4 linked regions of the Saccharomyces cerevisiae S288C genome follow. The main gene of each other region encodes a partner of the protein of the gene in region 4 in a complex. Links are inferred from orthologs where the notes say so. Each region holds a gene or a part of one and is shown on either strand. Other genes may lie near its edges. The genes, in order: TAF9, TAF5, TAF12 and SPT20. A codon is read from its position in the direction of its gene.

Region 1 (4,284 bases), on a different chromosome or scaffold from region 4:
TCCATGGCTACTTCCTTAGCAAGCTTGTAATCTCTCTTGACATCCAGTAAGAATTCACTTTGAATACTTAATAATTCGGATTTGAAGATTAGCTGGATATGGCTAGTCTTTGAATCGTCGGCTAAGAACGAAGAGGGGGAATTTAGTTGCTCGTTGATCAGGTCAACTGCATCTATCTCTAAATCGCACGCAAAATAAACACGAATTAATATTATTACTGCTTCTGGATGAATTTCTATTAACTTCTTGAGCATTTTACGACATGCTTCCAAACTCTTAGTTAACCTAACTATTTCCACTAAAGTTTCCACTAAATAATTATTGGTTAACGAGGGATTTAAAACGTGAGTAGGTGCATCTAAATAAACACCTTTTTCATAGACCAAGGGGAACAGTTTAATAAAGTTATTGGCAACATCTTCCAACTCACCCGAGGTAAATGGATTGAAAATTAGTGTTTCTACCAAATTCTGGGATTCTCCATCCGCACGATTATCTTTCATAATCATAATGTCACGTACAATACCACTCATAAACGTTTCCGCCCAAATCATGTTGACGTTTAAATCCTGTGAGTTGCGGCCAGATGACGCTTCTGCCACGGAGGGAAGTTGCGATTGTTCACCGTCGCTATTTATAATGTAGGTTTGCACAGTTCCTGGAATGTGAACTATAATGTTAACATCATATTTCCTAAACGCATTCCAAGAACTGATAGAAATCTTCGATACGTGAAAGTGCTTCTTCTTACCAAACCAAATTTGGGGCGTGTCTAAGAAAAGATCGGTTATCTTTTTGGCAAAGATTGTAATAGAAGTTGGATCCGAAGTATCGATACCCATACAGTAAAAGAAAGTGCCGATCTGCCCCTTTAATTTGTCATGGGAATGTAACTCCGTAACTATGGTCGTAGGATCTTGTCCATTGATGTTTGAAGTTGCTCCGTTATCGTTGGCGGAGGCAGTAGCAGTTGTTGTGCTCGAGGATGAAGGTAACGATTTGATCAAAGTAATTAAATCAGGCGGACCCAAGTCTTGGAATTGTCCCACTCTGGCTCTCCTCTGGTGTAGCGCATAGCCTATCACGTCTTCTTTCACTTCCGGTATGGAGGTTTGAGACAACATGGTTAGGACTTCAAGTTTTCAGTTTATCCTTTTCACGTTCTAAAAATCAATACAGCGCGGAAAGTGCTCTCAAGAAGATGAATTGAGATGTTTAAGGGTCCATTTGTTACTACATTATCGTGTAGATCTCATTTCTCTAACTTTCCATGTAGGAAAGGGCAGGCAGGAAAAAGAACATTAGAGAACATGATCACGATACACGACTAGCGCATTATTTAGTGTATATTACTCTATTATGCATTCTACATGACGCATCTTCCGGAAGAACTTGATTTAGTGTACTTATGATATATAAGCGGTGCATTCACATAGACTTTGGGTCCTCAAGGTCCCACTCCTTCGCTGTGAGACAATATTTTTCTGGGGGAAGCCTGACACCCCACGTACCCATCACTTGAGGTAATGCCTTCTTGTTTCTTTCCGCAGCTAACTGTAACATGAGCTCCTTAGGTGCCGTAGGCTTAAATTGGTATTGTGTTCTCGCTGCAATGGCAAGCCGTATGTCTTCTACTCCTAATCCACTGCCGGCAGAATTTCCACTGCCAGCGTAGTCGTTGTAAACCAACGCGTCCTTAAGGACTCCTTGTGTGTACCTATGTGCAAAATCCATCAATTGTAGCGGTACTTGGTCCTCATATTGATGAATCGACTGTGATGCGAGGAGCAGATGCAAAAGACGGACATCTCGTGGCGTTTCCTCTTGTGTTGAGTCCGGACCAACTTCTGATACTGAGCCCACTGAGTTTTTATTCAAAACATTCTTGCCTCCGCCGTTCATAATGGTCTGTGAAGTCCTCTAGTCTTTTCTTGTTGTCGTGTTGTTTCATAATGTCAAATTCTACTTTTGATTTAAAGCTCTTAGTTTGGTCATGGAATGCATGTCACTATGCACGTTGTGGGACAATTAATGGAAAAAAATTTATTAGGAAGATATTGATCAAAGGCATAATATCACGGTAAAAGGTGAATATAGGCCATTTTAACAGGCTGTCTTTCGAAACAGATTTTTAGCTATGGCTACCTTGCACTTCGTTCCTCAGCACGAGGAAGAACAAGTTTACTCCATCTCTGGGAAGGCACTCAAGTTAACAACCAGTGACGATATCAAACCATACCTGGAAGAATTGGCAGCTTTGAAAACCTGTACCAAATTAGACCTTTCAGGGAATACAATCGGTACTGAAGCTTCGGAAGCATTAGCTAAATGCATCGCTGAAAATACACAGGTCAGGGAATCTTTGGTTGAAGTAAATTTTGCTGACTTATACACTTCGAGGTTGGTTGACGAAGTCGTTGATTCGTTGAAGTTTTTATTGCCTGTTCTGTTGAAATGTCCTCACTTGGAGATTGTGAACCTTTCTGATAATGCGTTTGGGCTAAGAACAATCGAGTTACTAGAAGATTACATTGCACATGCCGTGAATATCAAACATTTGATCTTAAGTAACAATGGTATGGGCCCTTTTGCTGGTGAAAGGATTGGTAAGGCCCTATTTCATCTCGCTCAAAATAAGAAAGCTGCTTCCAAACCATTTTTGGAAACTTTTATCTGTGGTAGAAATAGATTAGAGAATGGATCCGCAGTCTACTTAGCTCTGGGTTTGAAAAGCCACTCCGAAGGTTTGAAAGTCGTAAAGCTGTACCAAAATGGTATTAGGCCTAAAGGTGTCGCCACGCTAATTCATTACGGTTTACAGTACTTGAAAAACTTGGAAATCTTGGATCTTCAAGACAATACTTTCACGAAACATGCTTCTTTGATCCTTGCTAAGGCCTTGCCTACATGGAAGGATAGTTTATTTGAATTGAATTTGAACGACTGTCTTTTGAAAACTGCTGGTTCAGATGAAGTCTTTAAAGTATTCACCGAAGTTAAATTCCCCAATTTGCATGTCTTGAAATTCGAATATAATGAAATGGCTCAAGAAACCATTGAAGTATCCTTCTTACCGGCTATGGAAAAGGGAAATTTACCTGAATTGGAAAAGCTAGAAATAAATGGTAACAGATTAGATGAAGATTCTGATGCTTTAGATTTGCTCCAAAGCAAATTTGATGATTTAGAGGTTGACGATTTTGAAGAGGTCGATAGTGAAGATGAGGAAGGCGAGGACGAGGAAGACGAGGACGAGGATGAAAAACTCGAAGAAATTGAAACGGAAAGGCTTGAAAAGGAACTGCTAGAAGTACAAGTAGATGATCTTGCTGAACGTTTAGCTGAAACTGAAATCAAATAGCTATGAATAAAAGTAAAAATAAACACAATCAACTGTGGACGAGGTTCAGGCAAATATCATGGTGACACGCTTATAGATAGTTATCGGGTAAGTTAAAAAACCAAATAGCTGATGTATGTATATGTATGCAAAAGATATAAAATATATATTTCTATTACAGGTACAACAGGTCCAGTAAGAAGCCAAGCAAAAAACAGCATTATCGTCTAGATGCTCCTTTCTTCGCCAGAAAATCTGCCATTTCATTTCCTGGATCACCATCGTGTCCTTTTACCCATTCAATCTGAAATTTACCATTATTTTTGAAGCACTCTTTATTCAACTCATAGTACTTTTTAACTTTAACGAACCTCTGCACCAAAGGAACAATTAAATCAGAATTAGGTAGCCCTTCAAGTTTTTTATTATCATACGTCATATACCTGTCATTTAATAATTTGGTTACGTACTCTGAATCAGTTTTGATTTGATAATTTACTTTTTCCTTTTCATTAGTTAACTTTTCCCAGATTTTCTTCAAAGCTTCTGATACTGCTTCGATTTCAGCTCTATTATTAGTTTGAGCTCCCGATAATAAGGGTTCTGAAATATTTTCCTCTGGCGCTCCTTCAAAATATGCACCATAACCTGCCCTTGAAGATGACGTGCCGTTTCCAAAACTTGAACCATCACAGTAAACGTTCATAGACTTGTTGTACATGGTATTGCTAGAAAGCTTATACTTAGATTCAAAACTTTCTTTGGATATATTCATGAGCTTGTAATCATGCGCACTCATACCACTAATGAAGTTTTCCGCAGCTAATTGGTCTTCAAACTTCTTGAAGGTTATACCCCTTTTATGCTTGACATAGGCTTGACAGTCTTTCCAATTGTTAAAGATTTTACTCTCGATATTTGGAACATTACTCTTTACTGAATAA
Region 2 (6,648 bases), on a different chromosome or scaffold from region 4:
ATTTGTAACCTTCCGACTTGAACTATTGGATCCATTCACAGAGGAAGGTTTAGTTCTATCAAACACTTCAAAATAGGTTTTGGGGACAACACCCTCTTTTCCAGTAGAAGGATTTGAAGCTTTATACCAATCCTTCTCATCTCCAGATACATAAAAAAATTCACCTTCCATGAAAGATAGTTCCTTTGAAGTTTGTGCCTGATAACTGTATTTGGCTTTTATAACTTTCTCTGGAGAAGTAATATCTTTAGAATTATGTCTGTTTTTTGGTGAAGAGTCCCGTTGGCTTTTCACTGGGGTGGAAGATGAAGAAAGGTACCTCACTGGTACTGTCTTAATATGCTTTATAACACTCCCATTATCATGAGAAGGTGTGGAAATATCTGCGGATGTAATTCTGCCCTTCGACCCATTACTATCTCTTTTTGAGAGTTTGAAGTTTTTCAGCATTTATATGGCTTTCTTGACAATTTCTTTTCACACAGTGCTTTCAACGTGCATCCATATGGGTTTAGTATATTAGTGAAAACATATGCTGATTAAGATGGTACATCAAATTATGGCTGTATTGTCACTTTCTTTTTTTCCTGTTCGTAAATGAATGGGGCCCTTCGCCATTTGTCCGTTTAGGGTAATATTAGTTAAGAAGCCGTTAAGGCCCGGGAAGAATGTCGAATAACAATAGATAAGAGATATTGTAAAGTTTTTGGATTTCGGTTTACCATATTGTATTGAAATGATTGAAAATATAACGACATTATAATTCCATATTATCAAGTGACATTTTTGAGGAGTAGCTTTCTCAAACCAATAATACCTTCAACAATACTATCTACTGGCTGAGAAACATTTCATTTTCCATGAATGTTCACCTGTAACATTTTTAGGTTGCTACATTATAAACTTTTCTTAATTCCATAATATATATCTATCTATGTGCGTCCTAAATTAAATCATAAAACCCCAGATGTGATGCCGTTCTCGAAAGCAGCGGCACAAATTCTCAAAGCTAATGTCTTCAATACATTTCTAACTCTTCCTCAGACATAGAGTGTCTTATCCAGGTTGCCTGGCAATTTTGGTTGTCTAGATCACTCCAAGGAGTGAATTTGCCTGGTACACAATTTCCATTACACCTATCTGAATCTGCTGGACAAGTTGGACAGTTCGTGTACGGAGTATGGTGATAACCTATATCCCTGAACCAATGGATGCTTGACTTATCCGCAAATAAAGCAAGTGCCAAACTTCTTACAGGGGCATCACCCCACCTTTCATAGTAGAATCCTCCCTTTTCTTCAAGATATTGCATATATTTTTCATAAGGTTCTGACCTCAAAAAGTCTAAATCGACTATTTCAAAATTGGTCCAGAAATGACAAGTTGAATACCCTTGAGTATAATCATAATTTTTTGGATTTTGAGAGTTATCTTTTAGCCATGCGAAGGCTCCGTTGACGTTCAAATAGTTTGGGTGTTCCTCGACAAAATCCATAGTTGAAGTCCATAGCGTTTCGATGGTTTGCGGACTATCATAGAGGTTCAAAACAAACCCATAAATCTTGTCATTCTTGTTCATAAATTGGAAAACGTCATAGTTAATTTTGCAATAGAAATTCACGTTTGGCTCTAATCTCCACACATATTTATATTTAGATAGCAGAGGATGATGGTAAAATTCTTTAGAATAGAAACGACACATGTTATGATAGGATTCCACCTCTGCATACTGAATGTTCTCTTTACTCATTTTGTCCATTTCTTGGTCGTATCTCTCCCTATCTATGCTATCAGGCATATTCCAGTTATCTGGACCAATAGTGCCAAATTCTACTACACGGTCCTTAGGAAGAATACTTTTTATTCCATCTTTGAATTCGTCAGTAAATTCCTCATCGTTAAGGAAGGTATAGGGATATCCAAAATTCTTATTGTACTCCTCTTCTAGCTGTTGAATAGAAGAAATTATATCCTCTAAATCAGAATTTCTCACCAAACTCAAAATAGTTCCTTTTGCCTTGCCGGCTAACGGATCCCCGCTACGTACCAAATTGTCCACCTTTGGCTCAGAAATTTCTTGAAGTAAAAACTCCTCGTACAACTGTTTATTTTCAGCAAGGACTTCATTCGGGTCAAAAGTGTCCTTTTCATAAAGGGGCTCGTGTAGCCTGTCCATTATGCTATCTAACACCTCAGCATCATGATCAGGAAGTTCATCAGCGCTTTCAGTTTTACCTGTAATACTTTTGTAGCTCTCCCGGAGAGAAGCATACTGGGACTTGGCACTATCCTTGACTGCTTGCAAATAGTTCTCATTCGCCGTTAAAAAGTAAAGAACAACGGTTACGGCAATCGATATTAGAATGATCACTGAAAGTACAGGTTTCAGTATCCTTTTTGAAAGAAACCTCATATCAGTTCGTATGGTTCACCTTGTTGGGTCTAAACTAAAAATTGTGTTCTGCTGTAACGGCCTATTGTATATTATACAGCCGTGCAACACCGTGAAAGTATCTGCATATCAAATGGTTCAAAATATTTCACTACATGCAGTTAGAGAACGTCTTATAGAGCTCGTTCCGTTGAATGGAATTCTCCCCTTAGCCGGGTAAAAGTAGCTGTAAATATCATCTTTTACGGGTTCAGATGAATTGTTCAAAAGCAAAAAAGTTTCAAGATTTCAAATGAAGTCTACAAAGTGGCAGAAAGAGCAATAAAGCAGGCATAAGGGTAGGAAAAGAGAAGGAGAAAAGATACGAGAAACTCCGGGTTCAAGTTGAGATACTTGAAAAATAAGAATGTCACAGAAGCAAAGTACGAATCAGAATCAAAATGGCACGCATCAGCCACAACCAGTAAAGAATCAACGAACTAATAATGCTGCTGGCGCCAATTCCGGCCAGCAGCCACAGCAACAGAGTCAAGGCCAGTCTCAACAGCAGGGGAGGTCCAATGGTCCGTTTTCGGCGTCAGACTTGAATAGAATTGTCCTAGAGTACCTGAATAAAAAGGGATACCACCGTACAGAGGCCATGCTGAGAGCCGAGAGTGGACGTACACTAACACCTCAAAACAAACAATCACCAGCAAATACTAAAACAGGTAAATTTCCTGAACAATCATCAATTCCTCCGAACCCCGGGAAGACAGCTAAACCCATAAGCAATCCAACTAATTTGTCATCCAAGAGAGATGCAGAAGGTGGTATAGTATCTAGCGGGCGACTAGAAGGGCTCAACGCACCTGAAAATTATATACGTGCATATTCAATGTTGAAAAACTGGGTAGATTCGTCGCTGGAAATTTACAAGCCGGAACTAAGCTACATCATGTACCCAATATTCATTTATTTATTTTTAAATTTGGTGGCCAAAAATCCTGTTTACGCCCGTCGTTTCTTTGATAGATTTTCTCCCGATTTTAAGGACTTCCATGGCTCAGAAATTAATAGACTTTTCAGTGTCAATTCTATAGATCACATCAAGGAAAATGAGGTCGCAAGTGCTTTCCAATCTCACAAGTACAGAATTACTATGTCTAAAACCACTTTAAATCTTCTCTTATATTTTTTGAATGAAAATGAGAGTATTGGAGGTTCATTAATAATTAGTGTAATAAATCAGCACCTAGATCCAAATATTGTAGAATCAGTAACCGCAAGGGAAAAATTGGCTGATGGAATAAAAGTTCTCAGTGATAGTGAAAACGGAAATGGTAAACAAAATTTAGAAATGAATTCTGTTCCTGTCAAGCTGGGACCTTTCCCAAAAGACGAGGAGTTTGTTAAGGAGATTGAAACTGAATTGAAAATTAAGGATGATCAAGAGAAACAACTAAATCAACAAACTGCAGGTGACAATTACAGTGGAGCCAACAATAGAACCTTATTGCAAGAATATAAAGCTATGAATAACGAAAAATTTAAGGATAATACTGGCGACGATGATAAAGACAAAATTAAAGATAAAATCGCCAAAGATGAGGAAAAAAAAGAGAGCGAATTGAAGGTGGATGGTGAAAAAAAAGACAGCAATTTATCTTCGCCAGCACGTGATATTTTACCTTTACCACCAAAGACGGCACTAGATTTGAAGTTGGAGATTCAGAAGGTCAAGGAATCTCGTGATGCCATCAAACTAGATAATTTACAGTTGGCCTTACCAAGCGTGTGCATGTATACATTCCAAAACACAAATAAAGACATGTCATGTTTAGATTTCAGTGATGATTGTAGGATAGCGGCTGCTGGCTTTCAAGACAGTTATATCAAGATCTGGTCACTCGACGGCTCATCACTTAATAATCCTAACATCGCGTTAAATAACAACGACAAGGATGAAGACCCAACGTGTAAAACTTTGGTGGGGCACAGTGGTACAGTATATTCAACAAGTTTCAGTCCGGATAATAAGTATTTACTTTCTGGTTCTGAAGATAAAACCGTCAGGCTATGGTCCATGGATACTCACACCGCGCTAGTAAGCTATAAGGGCCATAATCACCCTGTGTGGGATGTTAGTTTCTCCCCGCTAGGCCATTATTTCGCCACTGCATCGCACGACCAAACCGCAAGGTTATGGTCATGCGATCACATATATCCATTAAGAATATTTGCAGGACATTTAAATGATGTTGATTGTGTGTCATTTCATCCGAACGGTTGCTATGTGTTTACGGGATCCAGCGATAAGACGTGTCGAATGTGGGACGTTTCTACAGGCGACTCGGTTAGGTTATTTCTTGGACATACTGCGCCCGTCATTTCTATTGCTGTTTGTCCAGATGGTAGGTGGTTGTCCACTGGTAGCGAAGATGGTATTATTAATGTATGGGATATTGGTACCGGCAAAAGGTTGAAACAAATGCGTGGCCATGGTAAGAATGCCATTTATTCCTTATCATATAGCAAAGAGGGAAACGTACTTATTAGTGGAGGTGCCGATCATACAGTCCGTGTATGGGATTTGAAAAAGGCCACTACTGAGCCAAGCGCAGAACCAGATGAGCCATTCATTGGATACTTGGGTGACGTTACTGCATCTATAAACCAAGATATAAAAGAATATGGTCGCAGAAGAACAGTAATACCTACAAGCGATTTAGTAGCGTCGTTCTACACCAAAAAGACGCCTGTTTTTAAGGTCAAGTTCAGCAGAAGCAATTTAGCCCTTGCAGGAGGTGCTTTCAGGCCATAATTCACACTGAAAAAAATAACAGCATGGAAGTGATATGTAATAAGTATAACCTAATCCGATATGTAACTATTAGATGCTTTTTCGACATCGTACTTGACCTGCTCGGCGGTTATCATAGCGTCTTCTTTAGCCTTTTTTTTTTCGCTCAGTCATCGGGGCCAAAACAAGAAAGGCGAAGAACAGAAAAATGAAAAATGTAACTGGTTGTTGTAAAAACCTTCCAGAGAAATAAGATGAAATGTATGTTGCTGGCACGAACGAAGACAAATAATGGGAGTGAAGCAAACCCCACCAGTCCAGGTGAAAGTAAGCGACGCGGATTCCACCAACAGAAGGAAATCTAGTAGCCAGGAAGGAAACCCTCAGCTGGTTCAATTAAAGGCAAAGAGCGACAAAGATAAAAGAAAGGGATCTTCAGATTCCACTGCCTCTATAATGGGCAGTTCCAACGCACTTCCGACCAAAAACCTAACCACGCCTCCAGCACTAAACCCCTTAACGACCAGCATTAGTAGGGGTAATACTGCATACGAAAGAAGCGTAAATGGTAGCCGTATAACAATGCACTCAAACCTGGCACCTACGGAGACGCAAGACGTATCATGGTCTGAAATCGATACACTGGATGATGTGAAGAAGATGGCGAAAGAACCTATCGTCAACGACGGGTTCCCACGAGATTTTGAGAGCAATCTCACGCAAATGCGCAAGTCGCACGCTCAACTACTGCGATTAATGAGGGAAAGAAATCAGCGACTAAAGTATGCCAAGCTGAGGAGCCCTCCTCATAAGGATCAGCATAATTCTGCCACGAATAAAGATCAAGAACCAGACGAGGTATTGCATGACCCGGAAATCGCACTTGACGGTGAGAAGTACGTGAGCCAAGTTGTCGATACTATTAAAGATGTTCACCGATGCTGATGACATGTATGGGTTGAAAATATTTAGAGGATGCTAAAAGTCCCGTCTAAAATAGAGGAAGTCATGGATTACATTATCACCTTTATTGTCCTGTTCCGTCTGGCTAATTTGGGACGAGGAACGTTTGTCTCCATTCGCAACCTTTTGAAACCATATGAACGGCGGCTAATCTGACAGATGTCTTATATTTCTAGGATTGTAGAAAGCCTCCTCATCAAACCACCTTGTTTGAAAAAGGCACTAGTGCGGTTGCTTTACTTGATCTAGTATTCTCCTACCTTGGAGCGGTCCCATATCAACTAAATTCAGTTTTCTGACTGAGTTAAAAACTAATGTAGCGACACCACTTCCATTGGTGCCTCCGTTATTTTTTTTTTGTATGTTAATGCTAAATAATACACCGCTATGTATTTCAGGGCACTACTTCTACACATCAACGGTACTAAACATTTCGCTCAAGATCGGTCCGCTTTCACGTATTTGGATGCTATGCAATGTTGACTATTCTTAGTGGATAACATGCGGCATT
Region 3 (5,477 bases), on a different chromosome or scaffold from region 4:
GAATGATTTGCAGCGGTGGTAAAAAGTATGAAAACGTGGTAATTAAAAGGTCTCCAAGAAAAAGAGGAAGACCAAGAAAAGATGGAACTTCAAGTGTTTCTAGTAGTCCAATCAAAGAAAATATTAACAAGGATCATAATGGACAGTTGATGTTCAAGCTTGAAGATCAACTCAGAAGAGAGCGTAGTTATGATGGGAATGGAACGGGGATTATGGTTTCGCCAATGAAAACTAATCAAAGGTAAAAAAAAACATTGATGTTATGGACACTTTTTTTAATATTTAATAATAAAAACAAAATGAAAACAAGGAAAAAAAGTTTTTTTTTTTTTTAATTATGTATAATCTAAGTAAATAATATAGTATGAACACTTTAGATACAAAATATTAATTAATCAATTAATTTTAAAAAATTTCGCTTTATAGATACATATATAACAATGTGAACTATAACTTTAGGAATTTTTTCTGTGGAAGAGTGGAGAATGTGGGTAACATAATTATTTTTTTGTATTCAAGCTTGCAACATTGTTTCCATTGTTTTTTGCAGCTGCTACCTTATCTGATGTGATACTCTGCAATTTCTGGTTATAATTTTGAGAGGGATTCCATTTTCTTGTACTTCTTATTTCGTCTGCGGAATAACCAGGAATCCTAATATTCCAATTTCTCTCCAAATGTAACTGAATGTCTCTTGCCTCCAAATTGTCCGATTTTCTGTGTTTTGCCAATCTACAAGAAAAAGCTGTAACATTAGTAACAAAATCGTCGGCAAGATCCAATAGTAATTCCTCAACATCACCGTCAATGACAGTTTCACCGTCACCCTCATCAATTCCGACAGTCTTCACTAACTCTCTTAATTTACGCTTTGACATAACTCTCTGAGTATCCATTTCATAGGGTGGTAATTTAGTTGTTGCTGGTGTATTCAAAGCACTGGCATTCATAGCAGAACCTCCAGTTATTGTAGGTCTGTTGGATCTATAAGCTACCGGTGCTGGTGTTTTGGTAGATATATTTTCCGATATGGGTATGGCAGGCTCTGTTTGTTTGAATATTGCCGATTTGCTCGAACTTATATTATTCAACATAGATGCCGTTGCATTTACATTGGTTACCTTAGCTTTCGATTGTTCAGTCTGTGAAGTGTTAACATTGCCCCTGGGATTATTGGTGGCAGTTATTGTATTCTGCTGCTGCTGCTGCGATTTCAGTGCATCAGGGCCGGTTACAGAGGGTATTTCAGTAGAATTAGAACTAGAAATCTTTCTTTGGTTTTGACCCTGGCGTTGCTGTTGCTGTTGCTGTTGCTGTTGCTGCTGTTGCTGCTGCTGCTGCTGTTGTTGTTGTTGTTGTTGTACCCTTTGTTGCTGCACTCGTTGCTGTTGAGTGCTTTCTTGCAAGAATTTATGTAAAGCCGGATTGTGTCTTGCACACTCTACATAGAATGTTTTTTTACTGTTTTGATAATTATTGAACAGCTTGGTATACTCAATTTTTAGCACCTTCCAATCGTTAAGCAGTTCAATTTTCTTTTCTTGTAGCTGCTGCTTGGGCCCTTCGTCCGTCTGTTTATTTATTTCTTGTTCTAACCTATCAATATTTTGTTTCAAGTAGGTCTCTTTCTCCTTTATACTCGTATGACGGACTTGGAAATTCTGCCATAGCTTTTCATATTCTTGGTTCTCTTCCGGGGTGAGAACCTGTTTTATCATATTGCTAAATTTGTTACTGTTGTTTCTTGTCTGTTGTTGTTGTTGTTGTTGTTGCTGTGATGAATTAGGGACATTTTCAGTAGGAATAGAAGCTGGATTGCTTGAATTTGAATTTGAAGTATTATTGTAGGCTTGCGCAGCCTGTTGTCTTCTCCTATTCAGTGTAAGGGCATCATATACCTGTTTGATCTTTGCGGCTTGGAACATCAATTCCTTGCCCCTAGGAGTAGTTTCACCTACATTTCTTGCTTCAGTCAGTAATGTCCTGAACTTAGCGGCCATTTCTTGCAACTGTCTCGGTTGCAGTACCATATTTTGCTGAGCTCCTGTGATCGCATCAGCGTTACCAGTGCCCGTATTATTATTCGCATTAACACCAGAATTTTCTGGATTGGAAGACATTGTCGTATTTTATACACACACTGGCAAAGATTCGGTTATGATTCGAATGCTATTGGACAGTCTCCTGTCTTACACTAGCGAACCTATGCGCTATATATGCCCATTATTCATTTGCTCCGACTTAAGTCTAACACATTTTTTAACAAAATTCGCCGCGTATACTGCCCGGGTAATACAGCCAAAATCGTGATATTCATTTGATACGTTTACTTGCAAAGCTGTCATGAATCAAGATTGTACATTTATATACCATAAGGTGCTCTTCATATTCAACAATGCATTTAATTCATCCTCGCTACGCTTACTAGACCCTATTTACTAATTAAGACGGGATTCATACACATCGTTTTGCACGTAGAAAGTTACACGCGTTTTTTTTTTTTTGAAGTTGAAATTTCAGCTACGCATCGAGAAAGTTTATTTGGCAGTTTTCTTTTAAAGTTTTGAACCTGTTTCAATACCTTATTTCCTACCATCTTTCATTATTCAGATAATCACTTTTGGGAGAAATTTGGTTGGCGTCACTCGTTCTTGCTAAGAAATTGTAATTGGCTAAAAGTATCAACGAGAGAACAAGCTTTTGTCGTTATTCGCTTGAGCAAATACGTCAAAAATAAACGAAAAAGAAAGAGCTCTATGAAATTATCTGTCCTCACATTTGTCGTAGATGCATTACTTGTCTGCAGCTCAATAGTAGATGCCGGTGTTACAGATTTTCCATCCTTACCAAGTAATGAAGTCTATGTCAAAATGAATTTTCAGAAGAAATACGGCAGTTCATTTGAAAACGCTTTGGATGATACAAAAGGTAGAACGCGTTTGATGACAAGAGATGATGATTACGAGCTGGTGGAACTGACTAATCAAAACAGTTTTTATTCGGTGGAATTAGATATTGGCACCCCTCCTCAAAAAGTTACTGTGCTTGTCGACACTGGTTCTTCTGATCTATGGGTCACGGGTTCAGACAACCCATACTGTTCCACTAAAAAGAAGGATACCACTGGCTCATCCTTTAAACAAGTAAACAAGGATGCTTTGGCTAGCGTGGTTGAGAGTGTGTTTACTGAAATTAGCTACGACACCACTATAGTTACCAGCGAAGCCACTGCTACTTTTGATAGTACAGCTTCTACATCACAGTTAATTGACTGCGCTACATACGGGACATTTAATACCTCTAAGTCGTCTACATTCAACTCCAATAATACAGAATTTTCGATCGCCTATGGTGATACGACTTTTGCATCTGGTACCTGGGGCCATGATCAATTGAGCTTGAACGATTTGAACATTACGGGTTTATCATTTGCTGTAGCAAACGAAACAAACTCAACAGTTGGTGTCTTGGGTATTGGTTTGCCTGGCTTGGAGTCAACTTATTCTGGTGTTTCTCTCAGCTCTGTACAAAAAAGCTACACTTACAATAACTTTCCGATGGTGCTAAAGAATTCGGGTGTAATAAAATCAACAGCTTATTCTTTATTCGCAAATGATTCTGATTCGAAACATGGTACCATTTTGTTTGGCGCTGTGGATCATGGAAAATATGCGGGCGACCTATACACAATTCCCATCATTAATACTTTGCAGCATCGCGGCTACAAGGATCCAATTCAATTCCAAGTCACTTTACAAGGATTAGGTACGTCGAAAGGGGATAAAGAAGACAATCTGACAACCCTAACCACTACAAAGATCCCAGTCCTGCTAGATTCAGGTACGACCATATCGTATATGCCAACTGAGCTGGTAAAAATGCTTGCCGACCAGGTCGGAGCTACTTACTCTTCTGCATATGGTTACTACATAATGGATTGTATCAAAGAGATGGAAGAAGAGAGTAGCATCATCTTTGATTTTGGTGGATTCTATCTTTCTAATTGGTTAAGCGATTTTCAGCTAGTCACAGATAGTCGTTCAAACATTTGTATACTAGGTATTGCACCGCAGTCAGATCCGACCATTATTTTGGGTGATAACTTCTTAGCTAATACTTACGTGGTATATGATCTGGACAATATGGAGATATCAATGGCTCAGGCTAACTTCAGCGACGACGGTGAATACATTGAGATTATAGAGAGCGCGGTTCCAAGTGCTCTTAAAGCACCTGGTTACTCAAGCACTTGGTCTACATATGAAAGTATTGTCTCCGGCGGCAACATGTTTTCCACGGCAGCTAACTCCAGTATATCGTACTTTGCTTCCACGTCTCATTCGGCAACAAGTTCTTCCAGCTCCAAAGGCCAAAAAACCCAAACAAGTACGACAGCTCTCTCTATTTCAAAATCTACCTCAAGTACTTCCTCAACAGGAATGTTATCTCCCACCTCAAGTTCATCTACGAGAAAAGAAAACGGAGGACACAATCTGAATCCTCCATTTTTCGCCAGGTTCATTACAGCTATTTTTCATCACATTTGATAAATCCCTCCCTCCATATAAGCATTTACTAGACTTTAAAAGTTGCAATGTATATCTGGAGGTATAACATTGTACATTACTTGAAAGAAAAGCGTCTTTTAACGTAAAATAAATAATACTGTTCTTTTTTATTGTTACTGGCTTCTTAATCAACAATTATATACTTCGACGCAAAAAGCCGGGTAAAACATTCTATCTGCCATTGTCAAAAAATATGAAAGAATTTTTTACATATAACTACATTGCATTAGTATCACCAAATCAATAATGAAATAATAGCTAAAAACTATATATTGAAGGAAATATAGTTTATCATATATATCCTCTAGTGAAGCTACTATAGATAGAAATTATTTAGCATTTCAGGATAGTTCGTTTCTCCCTTTTTTCCCCTTTGTTTTCTCTCATAGTCTTGTAACCTCAGCTTTTGTTCATTATGAGTGAAAGTGGTCAAGAACAAAACAGAGGCACAAATACATCACCAAATAATGCTGAAAATAATAATAATTCAAATGCAGCTTCCGGTCCACTCAATGGTGGTGCTGAGCAAACAAGAAACATAACCGTTTCCATTCAGTATTCCTATTTCACTCCGGAGAGATTAGCACATTTGAGCAATATATCTAATAATGATAATAACGAAAACAACAGCGCAGCATCCGGTAGCACGATTGCCAACGGTACTGGGCCCAGCTTTGGCATCGGAAATGGGGGCCATCAACCCGACGGTGCTCTTGTTTTATCTTTTCGTGATGTTCCTGCGTCTACTCCACAAGACCGTTTGAACAGCTTCATATCTGTTGCTGCTCAGCTTGCAATGGAGAGATTCAACAGACTATTAAATAGACCAAAAGGAATATCAAAGGATGAGTTTGATAAGCTCCCCGTTCTGCAAGTTTCTGATCTACCCAAGGCCGAAGGGCCCTTATG
Region 4 (4,302 bases):
ACAGGAATAGCAGTGGAAATGGGAACTCTTATAAAAGTAATGATTCGCTAACATATAATTGCGGCAAAACTTTAAGTGGAAAGGACATATACAATTATGGATTGATCATATTAAACCGAATTAATCCTGACAATTTTTCTATGGGCATTGTTCCCAATAGTGTCGTAAATAAAAGAAAAGTATTTAATGCAGAAGAGGATACACTTAACCCACTAGAGTGCATGGGGGTAGAGGTGAAAGATGAATTGGTCATTATTAAGAACTTGAAGCATGAGGTCTATGGTATATGGATTCATACAGTTAGTGATAGACAAAATATCTACGAACTAATAAAATATCTTCTGGAAAATGAGCCAAAAGATTCTTTTGCTTGAGCACAGAGGTGAGATGCCCAAGTGAGAATTTTTTTTAAATAATGATGTACTTTAATACAATATATATATATATATATATATATATATATATATATATATAAGGAATGATAACTCTATTTAAGTAGATTATGACATTGTAGTAGAAGAGGGCGTGCTACTTGCGCTCTGTTTCTTCTTAGTCATTCTTTTCTTTTTAGGAGCTGGTGTACCGCTCTCGCTTTTTTTTGCATTTTTTCTAGGTCGCTTAACCTTTGGTTTATCTAAATTATTATTATTATTATTATTGTTACTGGTGGCATTGTTACCACTCCGTTTATTTGCGTTTTTCATGGCTCCACCATTCTGTTGTTGCTCCAAGGCCTGCTGTTGTCTTTGAAGTAGCTGTTGCTGTGGAGTCAATGGTGCTGTCATCGATATTCTAGCGTTGAAGGGGGTTGGATTGATGTTTGCACTTAAAGCCTGCTGTTTTCTTTTTTCTTTATTTATTCTCCATTGTTCAATAAATTTCAGCCTGCTAAATTGATTATTATCGTTACCCATGGTAGATCCCACTGCAGCCGCAGCCGCTGCCGCTGCCAAAGCTACTTGATTGCCATTAGCCAAACTGTTATTCCTTGTATTTGATGCGGAATTCGAAGTTGAGGACGAAGCTCCACGTACCCCGTTGGAACTGGAGCTAGCAATCTCCATCGCATTCTTGGTTAACGAAACAGCAAACGTGGAGTTGGTTATCGTTGTTGTGCGTTCATTCATGATCAACATCAACTGTTCATAATTTGAACTATGTTGCGGAAATTCATCGCGTTCTTCGATATGCCCTACAACGCCCTTCGTGCCTTCTCTCGTAGACTCAGCACGATGTTCGTGAATGAAGGATTTTTTTTCACTATCCCAATGAGGTTCTGAAAAAGCTGTTTCCTCCAACATGTCTCGGTGCTCATATGGATTTAATGGCACACTTAGTGACAAGTTCCTCTTGGTAAGTGTTAAAATTTCAGATTCAAACTGTTGATAAATGCTATCAGAAAACCTGGCATTATCTGCATAAGACATCATGTCATAATACGTCGTCAAATCATTAGGCTTCAACAATGTTCGATATACTCTAGGTCGTTTGAAGGATGCCTTCTTATTTGCTGTGTTTGCGCCTGTATTTGCCACACCACTATTAGGTTCGGATGGTTGTTGAATCTTGGAATTGTCCTGTGTGCTATTATTATTTGAAGGGGAAGAAGAGCTGTTCAAATTAGGCTTGTTCTCTTTGGGGGTGACATCAACTGTATTAGTATGGTCATAAACCTGTAAAATAAGATTTCCTTCGTAAAATTGGATATTACAGTCCCTTAAGACTTCCATAATAGCATCAGGAATCCTTCCTCTTGCGACGTACTCTAAAAATTCTTTCAAAGTTTCGTTATTTTTGGTTAATATTAAACCGTCACTAGTCAGCTCGGGTTGCTTTTGCTGCTGTTGTAACCTGCTATTTGCAGGAGCGCAAATCTTATAATTATTCTCATAAATATGAAATTCAAAACTGTGTAAATATTGCTCATATTTTTTCAAAATTGAGTCTGCATCTTCCACAAAATTGTAAAGTCTTTTAGGTCTTTTGTTTAAGGTCATAAGCATTTGATAAAACTGAGCCTCATAGTTTTGGAGTGCTTGCTGTTTTCTCTGTTGTTCGAGTAGTCTTTGCTGTAGTAATAATCGTTGTCTTTGCTGCAATTGCTGTATTTGCTCCCTGGTTAAAGTCCTAGTACCTTCATTGGCATTACTATTACTGTTTGTCCTCATAACAGGATGATTTACATTTGCTACCGCTGGGTTCATAGGAGGTGGTACATTAACTGGACTGCCTGGCGAACCCATATTGGATGGTGTTGCGTTCACAGGAATACCAAATACATGGGGATCGTTTCCTGTCGGGCTATTGGCACTCATCCCTGAAATATATAGGCGCAAATTAACCGTAACTATTCCTTCCTAATCCTCTTGAAGGCTACTTTTCTCATTCTTTTATCTCTGCTGGTCGATCATCTTAACACTTCTTCATGATTAATGGTCGTCAGGTATCACGAGCGGGTAACAGAACTAAGCAGTTATAGCGATCCCAGTTTTACTTTAAAGATAGTTAGTTAGTTATTAATGGTGCGGATAACAAGAACTATTGTCACTCAGAATCTTATACAGGTATGGACATGGAACATTGGGTCATATACATAAGAAATAAATTATAAAGAAGGGTCGAATCAAACATAAGCGGAGAATAGCCAAATAAAAAAAAAAGATGAAAAGAAAGCTATGTAGCTTTCCACATGTCTTGCATACCAAGGATAGATGTGACAACACCGGATAGCGCAACATACTCTTCGTTGCTAGACAAGTACCCTAGGTTGTTGAGGACGATGAACGAATCTGCAGCATCCCAGAATAGTCTTCTTAACGCGGTGTACCTGTCTTGGTATGCCTTCCCTAGTACCTTCTTGTGATCCTCATGCTCATCGCCTTGGCTTTGTGATTTTGCCTTGACAAACGCAGCAATCTGGGCATGAGATGTTTGGATCTTACGAAGATCCATAGCCAGACCACTTAGGAGGCCGAACAGCCAACACCAATTGGACCAGCGAGGTATTTTCTTACCGGTAAGAACGGTTACAGGAATCACTTTCAAAATTCTCAAAAGATTGACTTGATCTAACGACAAATATGCAGCAAAGAAGATGTTTTTCAAAACATTGCAGACTCTAACGACGTTGTCGCTGGCCAACTTGTTATCGTAGAATTTAGCAGCTGCCTGCAAGTGGTTTAAAGGCTTCAGAAACCTCAGAAATTTTCTGACTGTGGTAAATTGAGCTTGTAATTGCCTGGCCAAGAGAGATGAGTTCTGTACTGCTAAAAATCTTGCTAAATACTGCAGTAATCTGAGAACCTTTTCTCTGCCAGCTGAGCCATCTAGAAATTTGACGAATCTCGTCACGGAGGGATGATATACCAGTGTATCACAGACCATATTGATTATACTATTACTTGATGAAGTCTTTGAAGTAGTAGATGGAGACAACGGTTTTTCAGTTGTTGGAGTCACTTCCCTTTTATATCTATAAATGATATACCCATCGCTTCGGGTTCTCCGAGATAAATGCCGACGCGTAGTGAAAATCGCAATGGAATTGATGCCAACTTTGTTCTTGGTATTATATTTTTACAATAGAAGGGCAAGCATAGAAAGGATGGGTTACTATGACATTGATGATGTCCTAGCAGATGGGACAGAGTTTCCTTGTAAATTTCAATATGATATTCCTGGTCTTGGTTATTTGGAAAACAACCCAGGACGACCCATAACGAAAAACACTAAACTAAGCCTGCCACTATGGTTAGCAAGAATCCTTGCAATTGTGGGTGGTGACGAAGCCTTGGTAGATGAAGAACCTGTACCTTTTGTGGAACTCCTGCCACCAGATATGTTTTCTACGAAAGTTATGAACGCTATAAAGACCGATCCGGTGGCTCTGGACTTGCATTCCATAAATTCGCATTTCTTCAGTCTAGCCATAAAATGGATAATGTTGTTTAGCGAAAAAGAACTGGCCAATGTCGTTAGTGAGCTACTTTTGCAACGTGCCCAAGAACTTAATCATCATGCTAGTAGTTTATCGATTGATCTCAATGCAGACTCGACCGGAAAAAATTCAGCGAACACTAATATAGCAACTAGCACATTTTTACTGAAACTAGAAGAAATGGAGAAGGAGATATATAAAAAGTCTCATGAATCTTATAAGGACACGAAAAGGTGGATGTTTAAAAAATAACACATCTTTTTCTTTAGAAATACACTATATAAAATAACTATAAAAAAAAGGCAACAGTATAATATTAAGTTTCTTTAAAAGTCTTGATTCTAACCCTCGCCTCTTCTTAGAAC

The links.
Region 1: the proteins of SPT20 (region 4) and TAF9 are in contact, whole or in part, in a cryo-EM structure (PDB 6TB4), measured with the Komagataella phaffii proteins. The link is inferred for Saccharomyces cerevisiae S288C from one-to-one orthologs. Residues at the interface, in XP_002490759.1 of Komagataella phaffii: Tyr114, Arg117, Gln194, Leu195, Tyr198, Leu202, His241, Arg242, Pro249, Val251, Val264, His265, Glu266, His267, Arg268, Pro269, Ala271; in XP_002491029.1 of Komagataella phaffii: Lys99, Glu100, Leu103, Glu104, Lys111, Pro119, Trp121, Ile123, Arg124, Leu125, Pro126, Pro127, Glu128, Lys129.
Region 2: the proteins of SPT20 (region 4) and TAF5 are in contact, whole or in part, in a cryo-EM structure (PDB 6T9I), measured with the Saccharomyces cerevisiae proteins. Residues at the interface, in NP_014493.1 of Saccharomyces cerevisiae: Arg112 (codon at 1,982), Pro113 (codon at 1,979), Lys114 (codon at 1,976), Arg115 (codon at 1,973), Leu116 (codon at 1,970), Tyr117 (codon at 1,967), Asn118 (codon at 1,964), Phe119 (codon at 1,961), Val120 (codon at 1,958), Glu121 (codon at 1,955), Arg200 (codon at 1,718), Phe206 (codon at 1,700), Tyr207 (codon at 1,697), Glu208 (codon at 1,694), Gly209 (codon at 1,691), Asp289 (codon at 1,451), Asp295 (codon at 1,433), Tyr299 (codon at 1,421), Phe305 (codon at 1,403), Asp307 (codon at 1,397), Ile309 (codon at 1,391), Gln311 (codon at 1,385), Gln312 (codon at 1,382), Phe313 (codon at 1,379), Glu314 (codon at 1,376), Ser315 (codon at 1,373), Glu316 (codon at 1,370), Ile317 (codon at 1,367), Leu318 (codon at 1,364), Thr319 (codon at 1,361); in NP_009757.1 of Saccharomyces cerevisiae: Leu60 (codon at 2,976), Ile63 (codon at 2,985), Val64 (codon at 2,988), Tyr67 (codon at 2,997), Leu68 (codon at 3,000), Lys70 (codon at 3,006), Lys71 (codon at 3,009), Gly72 (codon at 3,012), Tyr73 (codon at 3,015), Glu77 (codon at 3,027), Leu80 (codon at 3,036), Arg81 (codon at 3,039), Ala82 (codon at 3,042), Glu83 (codon at 3,045), Ser84 (codon at 3,048), Gly85 (codon at 3,051), Arg86 (codon at 3,054), Thr87 (codon at 3,057), Thr89 (codon at 3,063), Pro90 (codon at 3,066), Gln91 (codon at 3,069), Asn92 (codon at 3,072), Ser95 (codon at 3,081), Pro96 (codon at 3,084), Ala97 (codon at 3,087), Thr99 (codon at 3,093), Gly102 (codon at 3,102), Lys103 (codon at 3,105), Phe104 (codon at 3,108), Pro105 (codon at 3,111).
Region 3: the proteins of SPT20 (region 4) and TAF12 are in contact, whole or in part, in a cryo-EM structure (PDB 6T9J), measured with the Saccharomyces cerevisiae proteins. Residues at the interface, in NP_014493.1 of Saccharomyces cerevisiae: Asn389 (codon at 1,151), Gln392 (codon at 1,142), Leu393 (codon at 1,139), Ile396 (codon at 1,130), Met397 (codon at 1,127), Asn398 (codon at 1,124), Glu399 (codon at 1,121), Arg400 (codon at 1,118), Thr401 (codon at 1,115), Thr402 (codon at 1,112), Thr403 (codon at 1,109), Ile404 (codon at 1,106), Ser407 (codon at 1,097), Val411 (codon at 1,085); in NP_010429.1 of Saccharomyces cerevisiae: Ala377 (codon at 992), Tyr378 (codon at 989), Arg379 (codon at 986), Ser380 (codon at 983), Asn381 (codon at 980), Arg382 (codon at 977), Pro383 (codon at 974), Gly388 (codon at 959), Ser389 (codon at 956), Ala390 (codon at 953), Asn397 (codon at 932), Leu404 (codon at 911), Pro405 (codon at 908), Tyr407 (codon at 902), Glu408 (codon at 899), Met409 (codon at 896), Asp410 (codon at 893), Gln412 (codon at 887).

The regions. Positions count from the first base shown.
Region 1 is NC_001145.3:740,589-744,872, reverse strand, and holds TAF9 (chromatin modification protein), read right to left. Parts: upstream 1,903-4,284; coding exon 1,429-1,902; downstream 1-1,428. Other genes in the region: BCH1 (exomer complex subunit), read right to left, coding at 1-1,124; GTPase-activating protein RNA1, read left to right, coding at 2,138-3,361; RNH1 (RNA-DNA hybrid ribonuclease), read right to left, coding at 3,561-4,284. UniProt on the Saccharomyces cerevisiae protein: Functions as a component of both the DNA-binding general transcription initiation factor complex TFIID and the transcription coactivator SAGA complex.
Region 2 is NC_001134.8:614,674-621,321, reverse strand, and holds TAF5 (chromatin modification protein), read left to right. Parts: upstream 1-2,798; coding exon 2,799-5,195; downstream 5,196-6,648. Other genes in the region: phosphatidylinositol-3-phosphate-binding protein BEM1, read right to left, coding at 1-450; KTR4 (putative mannosyltransferase), read right to left, coding at 1,019-2,413; YBR197C (uncharacterized protein), read left to right, coding at 5,466-6,119. UniProt on the Saccharomyces cerevisiae protein: Functions as a component of both the DNA-binding general transcription initiation factor complex TFIID and the transcription coactivator SAGA complex.
Region 3 is NC_001136.10:743,381-748,857, reverse strand, and holds TAF12 (Taf12p), read right to left. Parts: upstream 2,121-5,477; coding exon 501-2,120; downstream 1-500. Other genes in the region: DNA-binding transcription factor SWI5, read left to right, coding at 1-245; MKC7 (aspartyl protease), read left to right, coding at 2,757-4,547; ubiquitin-protein ligase SAN1, read left to right, coding at 4,984-5,477. UniProt on the Saccharomyces cerevisiae protein: Functions as a component of both the DNA-binding general transcription initiation factor complex TFIID and the transcription coactivator SAGA complex.
Region 4 is NC_001147.6:45,260-49,561, forward strand, and holds SPT20 (Spt20p), read right to left. Parts: upstream 2,316-4,302; coding exon 501-2,315; downstream 1-500. Other genes in the region: DCP1 (Dcp1p), read left to right, coding at 1-374; PEX11 (Pex11p), read right to left, coding at 2,674-3,384; DNA replication protein PSF3, read left to right, coding at 3,605-4,189; CTR9 (Ctr9p), read right to left, coding at 4,296-4,302. UniProt on the Saccharomyces cerevisiae protein: Component of the transcription coactivator SAGA complex. SAGA acts as a general cofactor required for essentially all RNA polymerase II transcription. At the promoters, SAGA is required for transcription pre-initiation complex (PIC) recruitment.